Linked DNA regions of Ovis aries. The protein of the gene in region 1 interacts with the protein of each later gene in a biochemical or structural test. Links are inferred from orthologs where the notes say so. Each region holds a gene or a part of one and is shown in the gene's direction. Other genes may lie near its edges.

What was found.
Region 2: the proteins of STON2 (region 1) and SYT1 form a complex in vitro, tested with the Homo sapiens proteins (2 studies listed by BioGRID). The link is inferred for Ovis aries from reciprocal best matches to the Homo sapiens genes STON2 and SYT1.

Annotation. Positions count from the first base shown.
Region 1 is NC_056060.1:90,899,347-90,906,416, reverse strand, and holds the start of STON2 (stonin-2), read left to right. Parts: upstream 1-2,555; 5' UTR 2,556-2,719; intron 2,720-7,070. UniProt on the Homo sapiens protein: Adapter protein involved in endocytic machinery. Involved in the synaptic vesicle recycling. May facilitate clathrin-coated vesicle uncoating.
Region 2 is NC_056056.1:114,925,002-114,932,252, forward strand, and holds the start of SYT1 (synaptotagmin-1), read left to right. Parts: upstream 1-3,511; 5' UTR 3,512-3,895; intron 3,896-7,251. UniProt on the Homo sapiens protein: Calcium sensor that participates in triggering neurotransmitter release at the synapse. May have a regulatory role in the membrane interactions during trafficking of synaptic vesicles at the active zone of the synapse.

The DNA of each region.
Region 1 (7,070 bases):
GAAGGAGCCTCTTTTCTTCGGAGTGACTGCATGATCAATCCAAATGGAATTTCTGCTTTACCAAAGCCACACCCATGGTGCTTGGGAGGGATGCTGGTGAAAGAGACTTCCTCATACAGCCTGTTGTACCCTCATTTTTTATCAGGTAAGGCTTCACTATACCAATACATCTTTTCAGTATGAAGTTAATTGATTGCTTATCCATTAATGTAAACTGGAGAAAACTGAGCTCATTTTCTCCAAGGGTCTTGAGCTCTTCAAGGTAAGTGTGTTTCAGCTCACTTCCTGATGGCTCAGATGGTAAAGAAACTGCCTGCAATGCAGGAGATCCGGGTTTGATCCCTGGAACAGGAAGATCCCCTGGAGAAAGAAATGGCAACCCACTCCAGTATTCTTACCTGGAGAATCCCATGGACAGAGGAGCCTGGCGGGCTGCAGTTCATGGGGTAACAAAGTATCAGACACCACACTTTGGAAGTAATACTTAATCCTTAGGGCAAAAATCAGGCTCTCAGAATGGGTCAAGCTGGCTTTCACCAGAGTCTTTTAACTTTTCTATTAAACTAAATTTCTCTCCCAAGGGTTCTGTCAACACAGGAGAAAAGAACTAGGGGGAAATACCTGTAGGAAAATGGTTATATACTTGCTGTCAAGAAGACATTACTGCAACCAAAGTCAAAGGTAAAATAGAAACTGTGCTATTTGTTTATACTCATTGTCTAGCTGGGTGTTTGGGGATGGGGTGGGGTCCTTTGATGAGTGGTAGAACAAAGTTCTGGGAGCACCCTGATTTACAGTGGTTGTTTTATTCTTTGGAAAGATTTGTTGCAGGTGTGAGAGAATGTTGGGAGGACTGAGACTGTAAAATGGGAGGAGAGATGAAGATGCGGGCAGGTTTAACCCCTGACAGTTGCTCTCCGTTCTGACCTGTGCCTCTCCATCGCAGTGCAGGGCGACTGTCTTCCAGATGAAAATCTCTCGCACTCAGAACTGATGTCTCTTGTCCACAAGGAACCTGTGTGCATACTTATGACAGCTGTTATATGCATTTCTGAATTAATATATGCAAAGTACTTGGAAACCTGACTGGCGAATACTATGCATCATGGAAACGTTAGGGTTGTTGTTTTTATTAATCAGACTCATCTCCGTAGCTAGGTAAAGATTCCTTGTTGAGGAAGGCCTCGCTGTCCTTCTTGTCCTTAGTAATCTCTTAACGTGATTAGGACCCTGGACAAGTCGCTTACCCTTTGCAAGCTCCACAAAGATTGTGTGTCAAGTACGATCTGAGTCTAGAAACACAATTTGGTGCCCACTATTTATGAGCTACTGCCCTGCGTCCTATGCCTATATATATATATATATATATATATATATATATATCAGTTCAGTCGCTCAGTCGTGTCCAACTCTTAGCGACCCCATGGACTGCAGCACGCCAGGTATCCCTGTCCATCTCCAACTTCCGAAGTTTACTCAAACTCATGTCCATCACTGCGGTGATGCCATCCAACCATTTCCTCCTCTGTCATCCCCTTCTCCTCCCGCCTTCAATCTTTCCCAGCATCAGGGTCTTTTCCAATGAGTCAGGTGGCCCATAGGATTAATAGCTATAATTCTATAACTTATATATATGTATATATATATATATATATAGAGAGAGAGAGAGAGAGAGAGAGAGAGAGAGTATGCCTATATATATAGTCAAACCAACCTAGACAGCATATTAAAAAGCAGAGACATTACTTTGCCAACAAAGGTCCATCTAATCGAGGCTATGGTTTTTCCAGTGGTCATGTATGGTTGTGAGAGTTGGACTGTGAAGAAAGCTGAGCGCCGAAGAATTGATGCTTTTGAACTGTGGTGTTGGAGAAGACTCTTGGGAGTTCCTTGGACTGCAAGGAGATCCAACCAGTCCATCCTAAAGGAAATCAGTCCTGAATATTCATTGCAAGGACTGATGCTGAGGCTGAAACTCATTGGAAAAGACCCTGATGCTGGGAAAGATTGAAGGTAGGAGGAGAAGGGGACGACAGAGGATGAGATGGTTGGATGGCATCACCGACTCAATGGACATGAGTTTGAGTAAACTCTGGGAGTTGGCGATGGACAGGGAAGCCCGGCGTGCTACAGTCCAAGGGGTCACAGAGTCAGACACGACTGAGCGACTGAACTGAACTGAGAGTAAAAGCGTTAAATGAATGAGGAGTCAAAACCTCATATAAGAGTGAGACGGGGAACAGCAGTCTGCACCGTGCAGCCTCGACACGGGCTGTGGGACAGCCTCCTGGGCGGTCCCCAGACCCTGCACCCCCGGGCCGCACGCCTGAGCTGCACTGACCGCGCGGCAGGGCCCGGGTTGCAGCGTCTGGCTGTGAGCTCCGAGCTCCGGGTGCAGAAAGGACACCGCGGGGCTGCGGCGCGGGGGGTCGGGGTAGGGGCGGGTCCGCGCCGCGTCGGACCCGCCCACCGCCCGGCAGACCAATCAGCGCGCGGCTCTGGCTCGCTCCTCGGCCAATCCGTAGCGGCGGGAGCGGCGCCCAGCGCCGCTGGGCGCAGAGCGAGCTCGGACTGGGGAGCCTGAGGCCGGGCCGCCCCGGAGCGAGCGCGGCAGGGAGGAGCGCGCGGCGGGACGAGGGCACCCCGGGGCCGGCGCCACTCCCGCTGAGCCGCGGCCACCTTCCGGCGGACCCTCAGGACTCTGCGCGCCGCGCCGCAGGTAGCTGCTCCCCGAGCTGGGAGGCCGATCGCGCTCCGGGCTCCCGCGGGTGGAGCGGGCGGGGGGGCGGGCCGGCCGCGAGGTCGTAGCGCTGCGGGAGCTGCCCGAGCCCCTGTGGAGCCCCCCGAAGCTGCCTCGGCTGGAATGCCCCGGGGAGACGCGCTTCCCCCAGCCGCGGGCGTCCAGCGGTGAGAGCGAGCGAGGGGAGTCCGCTAAGGTGGGCAGGGGTGCAGAGTCGGGGGACAAGACGTGACCCCTGGACACCCTGCCTCGCACACAGGCGCTGTCTGCCCGTGCGTGTCCGCCCCGAGATCTGGGTCCCCGGGACGTCTTCTTGGGGCCCTAGTGAGGGAGGCGACAACAGGTGTCCTTGCGGACTGTGCTTTTCTCCACCGTCCACCCCTCACCCCAACCCTCCCCAAAACTGCTTTGGCGTTCTGCGCCCCACTTTCGGGGTATCCGGATACAGGGACCCCAGCCTGGCCTCTCAGGCACGATGCCCGCTGGACAGCGCCCAGAGGCGGCCTGGACCCGGCCTTTGGATGGAGTTTCCTCCTCTCGTTGCCAAGCGATTTGCCTGACACCCGCCCCTCTCGCTGAGATGAAGAGAGTTGATGTGGTTTGTGTGTGTGTGTTGCAGCCTGTACTAAAAGGAGCTGCCCCAGGGCTGTGAGTGAATCATTAACTGGTTTCTGTACAGCTAGTGGCCTCCGTCTCTTTCTCCGAGGCAGGTCCTTCGTGGTCTCCTGCGCTTCACTCTTCTAGACTGTAAAGTCAAAACACTGCCTTTACCTGCCCGATGGCGTGGCTTTGCGGAGTAAATGAGCCAAGCTGGAAAACACTGAGGCCAGCGCTGAAGTGTTCCATAAAGGCTGGCTTAGTGTTCATTATACGGAGCGGATGGCCTTTTTAAAGAGTAAATCAGACTTGTCCAAACTGGCCCAGTGACTCTTTGGAGTTCTGAACAGCTTTTTACACTTGAAGGGGAAAAATAATCTTACTGATGGTATCATTTAAAGGTACTATATCCTTTGAGGGATTAAAAAAAAGAAAAACAAGTCTGCTTCATTGGAATGGTGAGAGATAAATAGATTCCAACTAGTAACTGAGAAAACTTTGTAACCCTTGAAAAAAATGTGTATGAATGTTATATCATGGTACTGTGTTGCCTCATTACTATGGCTGATTTAAGGGGGAAACTTTGAGCATTGTTATACTCCCTACTCCTCCCTTAAAACAAGTGAATTTTAAAAGAGAGAGAAGAGAATAGCAAACAAAAGCCCAACCACACAACAAAATGCCAACAGCTCACAGAAGCCTAAAATTACAGTTCCCACTTGAGGTTTTTTTTTTTTTTCAGTTTCTGACCTCGGTGGTCTGCTTCGGTTCTTTGCCACTGTGTCACTTTCCTTGTTTTCTTTGAAGAGTCAAATGTTTCACTCCTTGAATTTGTCTTTTTAAAAGCTAAAATATCAATGTATATCAGACTCGCTTGGGTTTCTGAGCCCTCTGCTACTTGTTTCCTACCCCCCGACAAACCCCAGCGGACCTTCCCAGAGATTCTCTAGGGCAGGGGTCCCCAGCCTCTAGAATCTAAAGCCTGATGATCTGAGGAGCTGATGAAATAATAATAGAAACAAAGCGTGTAGTAAATGCGCTTGAATCATCCCAAAACCCCACCCCTAACTTTGGTCTGTGGAGTAATTGTCTTCCATGAAACCCGTCACTGGTGCCAAAAAGGTTGGGGAGGGCAGCTCTAGAGTAATGTTAGTGGGAACCTGCCTGTCTTTCTCAGAACATTACCCCCACAACCTGAGAGCTGGGGAGAGGACGCAGGTAAAGTGCCCCAGTGCTCCTAGGGTCTCCGGCACATTTACCAGGAGCTTTAGAATAAATACATCCACCCAGAGAACGTGACTCTCATCTGAGAGGGTAAGGAGCCGACTTCCAGAAGTAAATCTTACAATGTTAGTGAAATCGCTCAGTCATGTCTGACTCCTTGCGACCCCATGGACTGTAGCCCACCAGGCTCCTCCGTCCATGGGATTTTCCAGGCAAGAATACTGGAGTGGGTTGCCATTTCCTTCTCCAGGGGCTCTTCCTGACTCAGGAATCGAACCTGGGTCTCCTGCATTGTAGGCAGACGCTTTACTGTCTGAGCCACCAGGGAAGTCAGATGTTTCCAATGTCAGATTAATTCACCAGCCCTTTCAGTTGTTGGTGAGAAGACCGTCCCTCTACACCTGAGTGGGGGGATTTGAAAGCTGTGCTGGAGGAGACACAGAGAGGCACGTGGGGCAGGGGGCAGTTTGCCGAGTTCAGAGCCACACCCGCCCCTGACAGCTGGGAAACTTGGAGAAGTTGCTTGAAGTTTTCTGAGCCAAAGTCTCTCTCACATTACAAAATGAGGGCTCAAAAAAAACCTTTTTTTTTTTTTTTTTTTTTAAGAGGAATCGTTCTAAGGATGGTGCTAATGAATAGAAACCCCTAGTGCCATTCCAGGGATGTGGTTATAGATCGGTAGCAGACAGAGGAGGTTCACAAGGTAAGAATGATGAACTGTACCTGGGAAAGAATTTTTAAAAAGAGAGAGACTTTGTTGAGGGGATACACCTGAGCTGAGTGTAGGCTAACAGGCAATTCTCTTGTGCAGACAGAATTGAGCTGGGATTGGGAGTAAGAGTAGGGCAGAGGGGAGGATTCCAGAAAGAGAGAGTACAGGATATCAGAAGTGCTATAATAGTCATCTTAGGAAAAATGAGCAAATACCTTCTCCCACCCGCTCCGTCCCAATCTCAGTGGCTTGCTACCACCACCCATGTTATTTCTCACCCATGTTGCATGTCCAAGGCAGGTCATTCATGGTTCTGCTCCTCATGTGTCTCCATTTTGGGGCCCATTAAGGCTTAAGAATCCTGGAGAAGAGAAAGGCTACCCTCTCCAGTATTCTGGCCTGGAGAATTCCGTGGACTGTACAGTCCATGGGGTCGCAAAGAGTCGGACAAGACTGGGTGACTTTCACTTTAAAGGCTGAAGAAACAGCCTCTCTCTGGTACATACTAATCTTGTTTATGGGAGAAGGGAAAAAGAACGTGAGTGAGCAAAACAACTATGGCCCTGAGAGGTCTGCTGAGAAGGAGTGGGCTTCACTTTAGCTCTCACGCTGTTGGCCAAGGTAAGCCACATGGCCAAAGCTCATGCTGGTGGTGTGGGCACATGGAACCTCTTGCAAAGGAGGCAGAGATGATTAGGAGGGAAAGCGTAGGAGACAAGGCCAGGGAGGCGTCCCAGAGGCAGATGATACAGGGCTATGTGCCAGGAGCCTGGGACTTTACCCTATAGGCAGGGAGCTGCCATTGGAGGCTTTTTTTCAGTTGACCTATATAGTAGTAGTAGTGTTAGGCGCTCAGTCCTGTCCAACTCTTTGTGACCCCATGGACTGTAGCCTGCCAGGCTCCTCTGTCCATGGAATTCTCCAGACAAGAATACTGGAGTGGGTTGCCATTCCCTTCTCCAGGGCATCTTCCTGACCCCAGGGATCAAACCCTGATCTCCCGCATTACAAGCAGATTCTTTACCATCTGAGCCACCAGGGAAGCCCAGTTGACATATGGTTGATTTAGAAGGTTGTGTTACTCGAGAGGGTTTTAAGGTGGTTTGAGATGATCACATTTTCAGGGTGAGTGCATCTCTAGTAGCAATGTGGGGAGATTGAAGCAGTTGAGATCTCAGATCTCTCCCTCTCACTGTCTGTCACATGACTTGAGAGTCCACTCCTAAAAGTGGCTCATTCAGGTGGCCTGTCTTCACCGGTGGTTTAGTTGCTAAGTCGTGTCTGACTCTTAAGACCCCAGGACTGTAGCCTGGCAGGCTCCTCTGTCCATGGAATTCTCCAGGCAAGAATACTGGAGAGGGTTGCCGTTTCCTTCTCCAGGGGATCTTCCTGACCCAGGAATCAAACCCAGGTCTCCTGCATTGTGGGCAGATTCTTTACCGACTGAGCTACAAGGGAAGCCCACAGGTCTTCTAAAATGGGTGTCTCTCACACATTAAAGTCCTTATTTCATAATTATCATCCAAAGCAACTGTTCTCAAAGTTTAGGGTGCATTATGGAATCACCTAGAAGGCTTGAAACAGAGAAGGCAATGGCACCCCACTCCAGTACTCTTGCCTGGAAAATCCATGGACAGAGGAGCCTAGTAGGCTACAATCTATGGGGCTGCTAAGAGTCAGGCACTTCAGATTGAGCAACACTTTCACTTTTCACTTTCATGCATTGGAGAAGGAAATGGCAACCCACTCCAGTGTTCTTGCCTGGAGAATCCCAGGGGCGGGGAAGTCTGGTGGGCT
Region 2 (7,251 bases), on another chromosome or scaffold:
ATGAGTCTGAGTGAACTCCGGGAGTTGGTGATGGACAGGGAGGCCTGGCGTGCTATGATTCATGAGGTCACAAAGAGTCAGACACGACTGAACGACTGAACTGAACTGATAAAAACAAAATAAATCTATACAGGCAAAATATGGAAATGTTGGTTATTTTTTAATGTTTCACAACTCTTAGAAATGATACTTTAGGTATCATCAATTAGTGTGGTTATTAAAGATATAAACTTTAATAGTACATGGGAGTGTTGATTAAATGGAACTCCTCAGTATAATTGGTCAATGAGCATATACAAGCTTTTCCAACAACACAGAGAATTTCTTGGTACCTTTTTCATTTATTCTTTCTATGGTCTACAGAAGACAGCCATGTTCGCACTTAATGAATTTCTAGTTTCTAAAGTCTCTAATTCCCACTCTTGCCATAAGACACACTTTTCTCCTCAGTGCCCCAATCCAATTTAATTTCTATTCTGATCCCATAGTCTAAAATAGATGGCAAAGGGAACATTAAAGTAGTAAATAGATGAGTCCATTGAAAAGGGAATAAAGAAAATCATAAGATCTCAGAGCAAAACTGTGAAGCAGAAAAATGATCAAGGATGTTTTTTCAGCAAAGAATGATGAAGGAAAACATTGAACAAAATCAACGCAGTTTTAAAATAGCAAATATACATATGTATATATTTAAATACTGTATGACCAGGGAATGAATTCAATCTTAGTAGCATAAGACATAGGCATTCTAGATTTTAAAAGTACCCGAGAAACTGGTTAGAGACAAAAGACAATTGACCTGATCTTTCTTTTAATGGAGGTGAGTCTGCTATAAAGTCAAAGATGATATATACCCTGTGCAACAGAATAGCATGGTATGTGAACCCAGGTGGAGGTCTTTAGCTCCTTCCCAGAGTCTGGGAAAACATAAGAATAAAGGAAAGGATAAAAATCTTAGTCCTGTAAAAATTACAGTATATTAATATCCAGTATGGAAGTGGAGTCTTCCTAATATTCATGATCAGAAACACTATTTATTCTAAAGTGAATCATACTGTACCTGTAAAATCCATTTTTTATGTTAGCCAGCTAACCAGGAAGGTTAGTTCCTTCTGCACGGAACGTTAGGATGCAAACGTCTAACACCATTCATGTTGTCTAGGATTCCGACCACTGAAAGAGAGTTGATTATTGGATAGGATGTGAAGTAGACAGGAAGAGACATTGGCTAAGATATTAATGATAGAATCAGAGTCTGTAACAGATAACTAGTATGGAATCATATTCTACTTACTAATTCATTCTAAAACAAATTTACTCGTTTCCACATGCAGCTATTGGACACAACTTTTAAAAACATTTTAATTACTGGAATCTAGAGAGTGTGCCAAGAGTATTTTTTAAAATAGAGATCTTTATTAGGATTTCCCAGGTGCCTCAGAGGGTAAAGTATCTTCGCACAATGCGGGAGACCTGGGTTCAATGCCTGGGTCAGGAAGATCCCCTGGAGAAGGCAATGGCAACCCACTCTAGCATTCTTGCCTGGAGAATCCCATGTATGGGAGGAGCCTGGTAGGCTACAGTCCATGGGGTCACAAAGAGTTGGAAACGACTGAGCGACTTCACTTCACTTCAATATGATCCTTTTGCATGAGGACATTTATTGGAAAGCAGTGTTAGACTGGTAATTCATTCTTTTTCTCCTTCTCTTCCACCTTCAGCCTCCTCATTCTTTTTCTGCTTAATCAAATACTTGAGTTGATTTTAAACTAACATCTATTATCTTTCTCTAGCTATGAAATTACTCTTAAGATTTGAGGATTTTTTAAAATACGAAATAAATATTTACGTTTAGTTACAATTTGGGGGGATACACAAGCATTTGTTATTAAAACGACTAATTTGTATCAAGTTGTCTTCTTTTCCCCTAAACTTAGAATAAGGATCCTAAACATTACATAAATTGCAGAGATTTAATTAAAAACTTGAAGAAATGTGTTACTGTTAATTGAATTCTTGATACAGTTACCTTTGCAAACCAGTGTTAATGAAACTCCAGTTCAAAGTGGATGGGTTTGGGGAATTGAGATAGCTATTTATTTCCTTAACTGAGACGCCATGATAATCTTCTCAGTAAAATAAAGAACCCAATTAGGAGAGTTCTCAATTGGAGCCATTGACAAAGTTTACACAAACTGGAAGCATTTCTAAGCAAAACAAGTCAGGGGTTTAAAGGCCAGTAAACAAGGTCAGTGGGTGAGAGAGAGAGATACTTCTCAGCGTTTCAGAAGCCTTGCACCTGTGGAGCAGAGACTGGACCTGGTCCTACCGGAGCCAGGTTCCGCTCCGCCCCTTGCCTTGCTTGCTGTCCCTGCCCCCTATCGCTGAATCTCCCAGTTTGGCTTCTCCGTATTACCAAGCTATAAATTGCCCTAGAGCTTAGAGGCAATCAGGTCAGCACTGCTGTCACAGGGGAAAAGCTTCTTACTTCCGAGCAGAATCGTTCAGGGGAAAGAGAGAAAGGAGGGGGAGTACCCACGCTTCAGTCGTCGCTGGCAAGGGGTGGAGAGATGGGGAACGGAGCTGGCAGAAACTGCATCCCCAACGTTGTCGCACCTGACCTAAGTCTACAAACTTACTGGTCGCCGCAGTGGAAACTCCCAGAGCGCTCTCCCCTGCCTGGCAGCCCCCGCGACAGGGTGGAGTCGCTTCCCGGCCCCACCTAGGGGAAGGAGCTTCCCATGCCCGCATCCCGGCATCTCCCAAGCACCGCACCCTTGATTCAAGAAAAGTCTCCAGGCGTCTAGAAACGCTCCGATTATTCTTACCCCGCTTCCACCCTTGAACCCACACAATGGTATTAACAGCCTCCAGTGGCCCAGAGGGCCACCTTCCTATGGTTCAGGGTGAGCACTCTCCGGCGGACTCCTTTCTTATCCCCGCCCTGCTTTGCTTTCACAACTCCTCCGGGTCAAATAGCCAAAGACAAACTTCTGTCTCTTCTTCCCAGCGCCCACATTTTAAGACACCCACAGCCTGCAAACCCACACACATCGGAACTCCTAGGGCGCTGTTGCAGTCTGGGCATGCTCAGTATCAGGGCAGGTTTTGATTGAAAGTAAAAAAAAAAAAAGAAAGAAAAGAGAGAGGGGAAAAAAAAAAAAAAGCTTTTTATTATGCTGTCTCCCTCCCCTGTGCTTATGGCTTGCTGAACAGGTTGCGGGGCATTCCTGTAACTACCCAGAGGGTTTATCGGATGCCCTTGATTACGTCTCCTTGGGATCTGACCCCCTCAGACTTACCCCCCTCCCCCAACGCTCCTCAACCCCCTCCTCAAGTCCCTGTCCGCTGTGGGGATGGAGAGACACTAACAGAACTGGGATGGGCGCTGTTGGCTGCGCGGATCCACCTATTATTAGTGCGCCCGGATTGGCTCCCGGGCTCAGCGTACCGGCGGTGGAGCCAATCAGGCGGCTGGGGCTGGGAGATGACGGGCGGCCGCCTCCTCACTGGAGGGATTCCTGGAGAAGCTGCAGTGTGGGGATGCTCTAGACCGAGTGCTGCCCCCAGTGTCTTTCCACCTCCTCCTCCTGCAGCGGCGGCGGCAGCACTTGGCAGCGGCAACTTGAGACTGCACCGGGGCAAGCCCCCAGGGTGGTGCTCCCCGGAGAGCGGGGCTTGGTGCCCCGGAGGGGTGTGTGTAGGGTGAGGGCGGCCAGCTGGGACCAGCTGGTGGCCCTGGAAAACCTCCCACACACCCACACCCACACCCCCCTTTTGTGTTGCAGGCTGCCCCTCCAAGAGCAGAGGCAGCGAAAGGAGTCGTGTGCACCGGTCAGCCCCGGGAAGCGGTAGGGACCAGCGAGCAGGCACCACCTCCTGCTCCCCGCTCCAGGTAAGGCAGCGGGAGTGGCGGCACGGCCACCTCGGTGGTGCCTATTTGCTTGAATCCGTCCAGAAGGGTTTCTTCTCGGCACACTTGGGTTTTGGTGGGGGGAGACTGAGACCTGGGAAGGGAGCCCCGGGTGGCCTATTGTGAGCAGTGTAATGAGACCACATGTGCATCTCCCGGAGAAGCACTTAGCACGGCGCCTGTGATTCAGAGCCTGGAGTTGATGTTGGGCATCCCCCATCTTCTCCTTTCCTTCTCTCCTCCCCTCTCCTCCGCCCCCCACCCTCAATTTCTATCCCTCACCACCCACCCCCCTCCAACTCCTTTCTCAATCTCTCTTCTTCTCCCTCCTCCCATCCGAAGCACGCACAGGGCTTTTTTCTCCTCCTGGAGAGGATTGCCTTTTCTCAGAGGAAAGAGGAAGGTAGTGATGAAAGGAGAAAGATTTTTTTTTTCTTTCCTGCCCAGGGCAGGAGAGAAGGAACAAGATAGAATACAACCTCTGCGAAAATTAGAATAGGGAAAGCAATTAAACTGAATAAAGGAAGTAGACAAGATGTGCAAAGAGGGGAAGCGTCAAGTTTGACTTGATCTCCTCCTTGCAAGAGGCTGTGTCTCTCACTTGATTCCTTCAAATGGAACAAAAATAAACCACCGTTTCAACCCACTTGCAACTGCTTAATTGCTGTTGCTTTTAAGTGCCCACCATTTGACTCTTCCTGTTTCCATCTGTCCTGTAGGGCTATTTGGTATTGTCCATCAGTGGTAATGTCTGAACTTGGAGAAGCTTTTCCAATAGAGAAAAAAAATTAAAAACATTAATTTCCTGAGATTCTTTGGTATGGCCTTTATGGTGAGGAGCAATATAGATAGATAGATAGATGGATATAGATATATGTATGTATATGTATAAAGTTTCAAAACATTTTTAAGTGACACTAGTCCTATCAGGAGGCTTGGTTTTCTACTTTGAGAAAGCTAATCTAGTTAGCTTTGTGTATGTGTTGATTTTGACTTTCTTGAAGATTAACCCTTTAAAATAAAGCAAACATTTAACTTTTGTGTTAAAGCTGCATTTGTGTATGAATTATGATTTCCTTCTCTCTTTCTGCTGTTTGCATTGTTTCCCAGATATTGAATTCATGCTTTGCCTTCTTTTCTTTCAATAAGTATATTTAACAGATGTAAACGTGATGCTTATACAATTTTAGTACTCCATTTAGAAGGCACATGGAGGCTCAGTTGGCCAAGAATTCTCTTGTACTGGAACAAAGTTTAGAAAGTAATGGTAGGAAGATAGCCTCAAATTTCAAAAATCTTAATGGGAAAAATGTGTTTGTTCTCATCTCTTATTATAATACAGAGAAAGATGTCAAAACAACTCTGCCCTGGCTGCCTGAATGATAGGTTAAGTGAACAGGACTTGGTGGACAGAACCTTGAAGGCAGCCTCAGAAATTTCTAATTCCATCGTCAATGGTATAAGCTTTCCTTTCTTGTTATTCATCTGAGACAGATAAGTGATGGCTGTCAGATGGGAGGAGGTAGAAAGAAGTGCTTAGTTCAATGCAATGGGAAAGCATTCCAAGTGGATCCTACATGAGTGCAGAGAAATCACATGTCGGTGTCCAGATAAATCTTCCCCTTTGATTTATCAAAGGAAATGCCAAGTCTTACTTTTTTTTTTAAATGTGTCCACTTGGGATAAGAAAAAGGAGCCTTCTTTTTCAACTCTGCTTGACCTTCCACACTAATCTATGTATCCCAAAAAGTATTATTTTCACTATATATCTTAAGTGGACAAGTTTATACACTGATCTAGAGAAGAGCTGCATTTATTTACCATCAATGTAATAGGTTTTATTTTCTAAACTATTTTCCATTCGAGACACTTATCTTTCCTATTTCAGTAGAATTAACCTCAGGTCACAGAAACAAGATCTTCTTTCTAAGGCTTTGACATTTAAATGCCTGTTTGGTTTTTTTTTTTTTTTTTTCCTTTTTAATGTAGTACCTCTGTTGAAAGCTAACTCTAATTTTTAGAGGTGCCACCTTTCGGTTACAAGGACAAAGGGACAATCGTCTAATTGCCTCACATGTGTACATCTGAATTAACAAGTTTAGACATGAAGAGAGAAAGGAAACCGACTGCTTTCCATGTGAGCAAATTAAGATTTTACTTGGTTATTTCTCACTGTGTCTTAGGAAAGTTGCAAATTTGGGCTTGGTTTGTGACATTGATGTTTGAAACTCTTAACAAATGTTAATTATAGCAGTGACATGTAAAAGAAATGCACATGAGTCTTGAGTTTTTCACATGCTTACAAAAAAAAAAAAATTACGCCTTTATATACCGGAAGTCAGAACTAATTCCAATAAATAGTGAGTGGATAGAAGTAAGACTTTAAATAATATATTGTAGGAAATTATTGCCCTGTCATCCCATAAAATGTTCTAGTATAACAGTTTCATACAACTTTCATCTTTTCTCCCTTTAAAAGGATATCTTAGTAAATCATCTTAATGTTTCAGAGCAAATATGGTAATTAGGCTTTAATGTATTTTTATCAGAACTAAAGGTTGCTACTCTACAGGGGAAATCTAAAATACTAATTTTATAAAATACCACACAATAGAGAATTGTTGCAGAGTAGTTTTGAACTTCATTTCATAATGAAGAATATTAGTTATTCTGTCTGGTCAAATTGTCAGATAGTTCTAGTCCAGAAATATGAAAATGGTTATGGTATTTATAATATTTGCATATTAGACTTGGTGCTAACTGAAAATAAAGCTAGAATATAGTAACTTCTCTTAATTGTATTTGCAAAATGAACCAGATGAGTAATAAATAAAATGCAGAATATGTTAGATCTGAAAGCTAATTTGAACTTGCCTAATGACACCATAGATATAACATCAATTCATCTCCTTTAAGTTCAATGTACTAAATCGATTTATACTGGATTCCCAAATTAGGTTTTTACAGCCATCTGATCTTAAAAATCTCACACTTAACATAGACAATTATGTGAGCCTGAAATACTTTGAGCTCTTAAGAGTTCTGGTATGTGTAATAGCTAGGAAGAGATAGCATTAATTCCAAATTGGAACATAATATATATTTTTTTCTAATGGTAGTGATTAAATTATTTGGGGAAAGGAAAGCAAAAGTAAACAGTGTGGTTACATAACAGAGCAAATTTGATCTAATATTACAGAACACCAAGACCAAAGTTAGATTTTTTGGCATAGAATAATGTAGGGGTGGGTTTTACAAGTGTTTTGCTAAAAACTAATGCTTACTAAAATTAAATACCTAAAACACGGTGATTCTAAAAATTTTTCAATCATTTGCTT